Sus scrofa: one gene and its partner. Each later gene encodes a partner of the first gene's protein in a complex. Links are inferred from orthologs where the notes say so. Each region holds a gene or a part of one and is shown on either strand. Other genes may lie near its edges.

Region 1 (3,818 bases):
GTCATCATGAGCGCATCCTCATTCGCTCTGGGTGTCTCTTCCCAGCACACAGAGACTGGTGACGAGGTGTTGCGGATGTGTGTGGCCGTGAAAAAGAAGCTGCAGCTCTATTTCTGGAAAGACAGGGAATTTCATGAATTGCAGGTAAAAGTCCACTGTTATCTGGTCCATGGGTTGGATGGGAGCTGCTGCTAAACTGACCCACAGCTTGAAAGACTTACTGTTCAGTTCTCATGAAGCTCAGGAGCTCCATCTTGGAGTTCTCCCTAGAAGAATGCCCTGCTAGTATGAGTACCTGGGTGTTACTTGTGCCCACTTGTCTACATTTACGTCTCCTGGCCTTCAGAAGCTAGAGTAACATCATTCTACAACTGTACAGATTAATTTCTTTCAAAGTGGGTTTTCTCCTCTTCCAAATATGCCTTGTCCAGTTCATGGGTGACATATATTTTTATTATGGATGGTTTCCTGGCCTTGTGCTAATAAAATTGTATTCAGATGAGGGTGCGGGTGATTTTGCAGAATGGAGGTGAAAGAACAAGAAGGTCATTTTTTTTTTTTCTTTTAACATCTTTCCAGTTGAACTCTTGCTCTCTTTCTTCAGGGGGACTTTAGCGTACCAGATGTACCCAAGTCCATGGCCTGGTGTGAAAATTCTATCTGTGTGGGCTTCAAGAGAGACTACTACTTAATAAGGGTAAAATTCAACTGTTTTGCAAATATCATCAGCTTGCCTTGGGGAAGGTGATTATAAATTTACCTGGGGGAGAAGGTAAATTTATGTGCTTCTGAACTATAGGTCAAGAGACTGCCTTAAGTAGAGTCTTTGGCATAATAGGGTTTGTGTTTGTATGCTTGGGTATTTTTCATGCTTTGAGCGTCTTCCACAAATAAGATGTCGGTGTAACTTAAGCCAGACAGAATCAACTCTCAGATCTTTATATAATGAATTATCCATGTCCTGTGTCTAGTTATTGGACTAGATAATTAGGGCTGCTTGCCTCTGTTTAATAGCATTCTGATGGACTGCTGTCTTGAGGCTTGAAAGCTCAGGAATTATATACTAACTGTAGTATTAACTTAAGTATTTTTAAGTCTTGAGTTTCCTGCCCCCCCCCCAATTTTTTGCTTTTTAGGGCTGCACCCTTGGCATATGGAGGTTCCCAGGCTAAGGGTCCAATCAGAGCTACATCTGCCGGCCTATACCACAGCCACAGCAGCGCCAGATCTGAGCCACACCACAGCTCACGGCAACACCAGATCCTTAACCCACTGAGTGAGGCCAGGGATTGAACCCGCAACCTCCTGGGTCATAGTCCAATTCGATTCTGCTGCACCATGATGTGAACTCCCCCAAGATCTTTTAATATATTTGTTGTAAAAGTTATTTTCAGTTTTTTAAAAAATTTCAAAAGCCATGTGTTTATTGTAGAAAATTACAAAATGTAGATAAGGAAAGTAAGACAGGCAAGTTATCCATAATTCTCCCACTCAGAAATAATCACAGTTAACCTTTTGGTAATGGGCTTCTGTGTCTGTTTACCAAAATATCGTGTTATACACATTGTTTTATACCCTGCTTTTTCTCTTAACCTATATGGTAAATATCCATGACATTGGTAGTTTTACCCTCTAATATGCATACTAAATGTAGAAAAGGTTACTGCACCATTCATTTTATAGGACAGTATAAATTCCTCAGCTTCATACCCCTCTCATAAAACAGACTTGGCAATCCTCGAAGCTCTCTCCCCACCTCCCACTTCCCTACCCCGTGCTGTGTTAGCTCTTCATTGTTTATCCAGTGAATATCTTGGTTCCATATTTTTATTTTTGGAATAGCACAGTTTTATCAGCATCAGCACCTCAGGCCTGTAGGTGAGTACTGCTGTGCCACTGACTGCATAGCAACTAGGTAGACAGGTGCCTGAGAGAAGCCTGCGAGGGGTAGGAGGCGGAGCCACAATTTGGAGGAGGCTCTCATTTCTCTGCCTTAGATATGGCCATCACCTTCTTGAGGGTGCAGTGTTTTGAGGGCGGGAAAGCTTGCTTCAGGACCAGGTTATTCAAAACATACTCATTTATTTACATAGAGTAAAATTTATTCGTTTGGATCTACGGTTCTGAGTTTTCACAGATGTCTAGAGTTTCATAACCACCACCACAATCAAGATTCAGAACAGTTCTCTCACCCCCCAAAATTCCCTCATGCTGCCTCTTTGAAGCCAGCCCTCCTTTCGCACCCCAGCCTCTAGTAACCACAGATCTGTCCTTTGTCTGCTACAGTTTTGCTTTTTCCACAATGTCATATAAATGGAATCATACAACGTGTAGCCTGTTAAGCCTGGCTTCATTCACTTAGCATGATGCATTTGACATCCATCTGTGTTGTGTGTGTCAGTATATTCCTTTTTGTGGCTGAATAGGATTCCATGGTATGGATGTACTACATATAGTTTATCCATTCATCAGTTGAAGGACAAAGTTGGTTACAATTTTTAGCCATTATAAACAAAGCTGCTATAAACATTTGCCCCCAGATTTTTGTGTAAACGCAGGTTTTTGTTTTTCTTGAGCAAATGCGTAGGAATGGGATTGTTGGGTTCCATGGTAAGTGTGTATTTAACTTTATGAGATGCCAAAAAACAGAGTGGCTGTACCATTTTGCATCCTCACCGGCAGCACATGAGAATTCCACTTGCTCTGTATCCTCGCCAGTACTTGACATTGTTAGTTGCCAGCCTAGATGCTTTTCTCTGTGTTAGAGAAAAGCATATCTTGTGGTGACAAAATTTGTCATAACAAACTCTGTAATATTTCTTTATGCCAAATGACGAATATTATTGGCTTCTGTAGGTTTGGAGTTTTAACTTGATTTTTCCATGCCATCGTGTTCATGCCTCTGGCTGGAGAAGGCTGGGTGACTCACTCTGTGTCTCCCTTTAGGTGGATGGAAAGGGGTCCATCAAAGAGCTCTTCCCAACAGGAAAACAGCTGGAGCCCTTAGTTGCACCTCTGGCAGATGGAAAGGTGGCCGTAGGTCAAGATGATCTCACCGTGGTGCTCAATGAGGAGGGGATTTGCACGCAGAAGTGTGCCCTCAACTGGACGGACATTCCAGTGGCCATGGGTGAGACCACCATAACTGCTCTTTCCCACCTTGGGCTTGGGCTGTGTGCCACCCTCAGATTGGAACCCCATTGGTAGCTTTAGCTGACTGTGGTTTCCACTGTCATTCACTCTCAGTTCCTCTTGTAAGTAGAAAAATATTTTAGAATAATTAAAAATGGGATATCCTGGAGTTCCCATTGTGGCCCAGTAGGTTAAGAACCTGACTGGTATCCATGAGGGTGTGGGTTTGATCCCTAGCCGTGCTCAATGGGTGAAGGATGCAACATTGCTGCAAGCTGCGGCATAGGTTGCAGATTCAGCTCAGATCTGGCATTGCTGTGGCTGTAGTGTAGGCTGGCAGCTGCAGCTCCAATTCGACCCCTAGCCTGGGAACTTCTGTATACCACAGATGTGGCCCTAAAACACACAAACAAAAAAAAAGGATATTCTGGTTTTTGTAGGAAGTTGGGTTTTGCCCTAGAGGAGAAATCATGTAATAGAATTGTACATCTCAGGAAGTGAATGTCTAATGCTATTTTTACCTCTCAGTTCCTTTTCTTTGACCTTCTTTTTAATTGTTTTATTGTGTCCTCTGCCAAATGGACTACATTTGGAAAGTATTGGAAGTTCTTTATTTAGTCCTTTAATGTGTATAACTCAACATCCAAAGGTCTTTGACGTGGTGGTAATTGCTGCTCTTGTTTTTT
Region 2 (4,244 bases), on another chromosome or scaffold:
ACAGTTAGATTCGTATTTACCGTATTCATCACACTTTCTATTTGTTGTCCTTGTCTTTTTTAAAAAAAAAAAAAAAAAAAAAACAGTATTTGACTTCCAGTTCTTTCTGCTTGTTACGGTTTACATTGAGCATTTTATATAATTCCATTTTCTCTTCCTTCGTAGCATATCAGCTATAGTTTTTTTTTCTTTTTAGGGCTGCACCTGCGGCATATGGAAGTTCCCAGGCTAGGCGTTGAATCAAAGCTGTAGCAGCCAGCTTAAACCACAGCAACAGCGACACCAGATCCGAGCCACATCTTCGACCTACACCACAGCTCACGGCAACGCCAGATCCTTAACACACTGAGCAAGGCCAGGGATCGAACCCACATCCTCATGGATCCTCGTCGAGTTCGTTAACTGCTGAGTCACGAAGGGAACCCCCTCAGCTATATTTCTTTTAAAAAAAATTTTTTAGAGGTTGCCCTCGAGTTTGCAATATCCATTTACAACTAATCCAAGTTCACTTTCAGATAACACTGTACCACTTTACAGATCGTATGAGCATCTGACGATGACCAAATGATCCTAATTTTTTCTTCTCATCCTTTGAGTCTTTGCTGTCATTCGTTTTACTTATATAAAAGCATATACATAAGCATATGTACATATACACAAATGTATACATAAGTATCCATTGTAGTTGAAAACATTATTATCATCAAACAAACTTGTAACTACAGATCAGGTAATAGTAAGAAAATTAAAGGTTTTGTTTTACCATCACGTATTCCTTCTTTGACGCTCTTCCTTTCTTCCTGTAGATCTGAGTTTCTGACTTTTAAAAATGTCTTTTAACATTTCTTGCAAGGCAGGCCGACTCGCAACAAAGTCTTTCAGTTCTCGTTTGCTGAGAGTCTGTTCCTCCTTCACTGTCCGAGGATCATTTCACGAGACCACAGAATTCGAAGCCGAGGTTTTGTTTGTTTGTTTCTTTTTCAATGTTCTCACTATATCACTCCATTTTCTTCTTGCTTGCATGGTTTCTGAGGAGAAGTTAGACGTAATTCTTATTTTTATTCCTCTATAGGTGAGGCATTTTGTGTTTTTTTTATTTTCCCTCTGCCTTCTTTCAGGAGTTTTTCCTTATCTTTGGTCTTCTGTAATTTGAAAATGATATGCCTAGTCGTAGTGGGTTTTTTTTTTTTTTTTTTCCCACATTTACCCTGTTTGACGTGCTCTGAGCCTGTTGGATCTGTGATTTGGTGTCTCACATTAATTTGAGGAAATTCTCAGACATTGTTTCAAATATTTCTTCTGTTGCTTTCTTTTGCTGTTGTTTTGTTTTGTTTTTTAGGGCCGCACCCACAGCATATGGAGGTTCCCAGGCTAGGGGTCTAATGGGAGCTGTAGCCACCGGCCTACACCACAGCCTACACCAGGCCCACAGCAATGCTAGATCTGAGCTGTGTCTGTGACCTAGACCACCCCTCATGGCAACGCTGGATCCTTAACCCACTGAGCGAGGCCAGGGATCAAACCCTCAACCTCGTGGCTCCTAGAAGGATGCGTTTCCGCTGTGCCACGACGGGAACTCCTCTTCTGTTGCCTTCTTTTCCTTCTGGTATTCCCCCATCACGCCTGTTTCTCCTTTGGTAGGTGTCCCACAGTCCTTGGATATTCTGTCCTCTTTTGGTTTTCCTGTCTTGTTCTCTTTGCTTTTTGATTTTCGAGGATTCTTTTGGTATATCTTTTGGTTCAGAGATACTTTCCTCAGCGATGTCTAGCTTATTTATAAGCCCATCCAAGGCATTTCTCCATTTTCATTACACTGTTTTTATTGCTAGCATTTACTCTGGTTCTTTCCTGGGATTTACAGCTCGCTACGGATGCTGCCCATCTGCTCTTGTGCACTGTCTACTTCGTCCTTCAGCGTATTGATTGAATATGATGAGCGTTTTAATCATAGTTGTTTTAAATTCCCAGTCTGATCATTCCTGCGTCTCTGCCCTGTCTGGGTCTGGTGCTTGCTCTGTCTCTCCAAGTTGTGCTTTTGCCTTTTAGTGTGCCTTGTACTTCTTTCTTAATAGCTGGCCATGATATTCTAGGTAAAAAGAAGTGCCACAATAAAGCCTTTAGTAATGCGGTGTAAGGCGTGGAGGGAGGAAAAGTGCCCCTGTAATTAGGTCTCAGGCTTTGAGGGAGCCTGTGCCTCTGGACTCTAAACTCCACAAGTGCTTCTCTGTTTTTTTCCTTCCTCCTTAGGTGGGACAGGATGGCTAGAGTGGGGCTGGAATTAGGTATTTCCCTTCTCCCAGGGGAGTGAGGCTCTGGTTAACTACTTTACCTGAGAGCTGGCCTTGTTAAGAACAAAGCTGACTTCACGATGGTTTCTTTTTGCCTCCTTTCCCTGGGAACATGATGGGACTTTCCCCCAGTATCTACCCTGGGAAGCTGATTGAGCTCCTGGTGGCGAATCTCACAGTATTGCTGGGGGGACACACACTGGGGCCCCTAGAGTTTCTAACCGTCAGGCTTGTCCACGGTGAGCCTCCAGCACTGTGTCACATTCAGTTCAGATGTTCCTACCCTGGCATTCGTTTCCACTGTGGCTTCTCCGTGTGAGTCCCTGCTCTGGGATGCCCTGACTCTCCCTGTCGCCCTGTGGGTCTCTCTGATCTAGAGGACAGGGCTTTGCCCTGTGCCCTCCCCTCACACAGATCCTAGAATTATTCATCTTTTCCCTCGTGTTCAGCATTTGACTTGTTGTTAGGGTGGAGTGGGGACCTCCACCTTCCTTGTTTGAAGAAATGGAAGTCGGAAGTCCCCAGAAAATAACATTTTTTAAGGCTACTTTCCTTTTATCTGTACAAGCCCTCTGATGATCCCTGCATAAAGTTTCCTTTAAGGGGCACGAATCCCCAGTTCTTTGTTTTCTTTTTATGTAAACAAATAAGGCTGAAGAATGGTCACCAGGAACTAACACAACATTGTGAGTCAATTATACTTCAATTAAAAAAGTAAAATTAAAAAATAGATACATTTTCTTAAAAAGCACCACCTGATGCAGTACTTCCTCCGTGAAGTCTTCCGAACCTTCCAACCAACGCCCATCACGCCCATCTGGAGGCCTCCTGCGGCCTCTGACTTGACCAAACACCACCCTCGTCATGCCATTCCACTGCTCTGCTTAAATCCTCAGTGTCTCCTCGCTTTCTCATAGATGGGATGGTGGCAGGACACCAAGAAAGTCTATTTCTTGGGAAAACATAATGAAATGGAGATACATTCAATGAATTCATTCCCTAATTAATTGATTTAGTCATCAAATAATTATAAAGGTCCAATTATATGCCAGCACTGCTGTAGGTGCTGGGCACATGTTTATTTAAAAATAAGTGGCTATCTTACTATTTTAAATATATTTTTTGGTTTTAGTGCTTGTTTGTAGCTAAGCAATAGCAAAGTCAAAGACTCCAAGAAAACATGTAAGAGAAAAATTTTAAATGTTATATGTTCTCGATTAATTAATTTTCCCGTCTGAATTGGGAAAATGCTGTGAATGTTTCATTTTAGTGATAAATCCTTTTATCCAAATTAAGGCACCCTTGTTTCGCAGAACCTAGCTGAGAACCACCACACTGAGTCTAAATTACATCCTCTTCGGTGTTCCTTCAAATTTGCATATTCGCAAAGATTATATTTTAGTTTGCATTTTGCCTTTATTGCGTAGTCCCCTTGTACTTCAAAGACCATTCACCTCTAGCACCAGACTTCTCTGAGCTTCAAAACCAAATAACCAACTGTCTTTTGGACATTAGTTTTCAAGTCAATAAAAAAAAAGATCAATTTCCCAGCAGAAAGAAGAGCAAGAGTAGAAAAATGCAGAAAACAACTGAAAATCACGAGCAAATACATGAAAAACATAGACTGTTCAGAAATCAAACAAATACAAGTTGAAACAACAAGTAAAGGACTACGTCTCGGATGGCAGAAAAGGAACCAGTGTTTTGGACTCCCGGCAAACATGCATTCTGTATCAAGTCCAGAGGACATAGATGGAAGATATACTCCTTTTTTGATGAGGTATTTTATTTATTTATTTATTTATTTATTTTTGGTCTTTTGTCTTTTGTTGTTGTTGTTGCTATTTCTTGGGCCGCTCCCGCGGCATATGGAGGTTCCCAGGCTAGGGGTCCAATCGGAGCTGTAGCCACCGGCCTACGCCAGAGCCACAGCAACTCGGGATCCGAGCCGCGTCT

The links.
Region 2: VPS39 (region 1) and VPS41 share a complex: the UniProt entries of both Homo sapiens proteins name them as parts of the homotypic fusion and vacuole protein sorting (HOPS) complex. The link is inferred for Sus scrofa from reciprocal best matches to the Homo sapiens genes VPS39 and VPS41.

Annotation. Positions count from the first base shown.
Region 1 is NC_010443.5:129,164,688-129,168,505, forward strand, and holds part of VPS39 (vam6/Vps39-like protein), read left to right. Parts: intron 1-45; coding exon 46-144; intron 145-604; coding exon 605-697; intron 698-2,946; coding exon 2,947-3,130; intron 3,131-3,818. UniProt on the Homo sapiens protein: Regulator of TGF-beta/activin signaling, inhibiting SMAD3- and activating SMAD2-dependent transcription.
Region 2 is NC_010460.4:55,292,285-55,296,528, forward strand, and holds the start of VPS41 (vacuolar protein sorting-associated protein 41 homolog), read left to right. Parts: upstream 1-1,370; 5' UTR 1,371-4,068; intron 4,069-4,244. UniProt on the Homo sapiens protein: Plays a role in vesicle-mediated protein trafficking to lysosomal compartments including the endocytic membrane transport and autophagic pathways. Acts as a component of the HOPS endosomal tethering complex.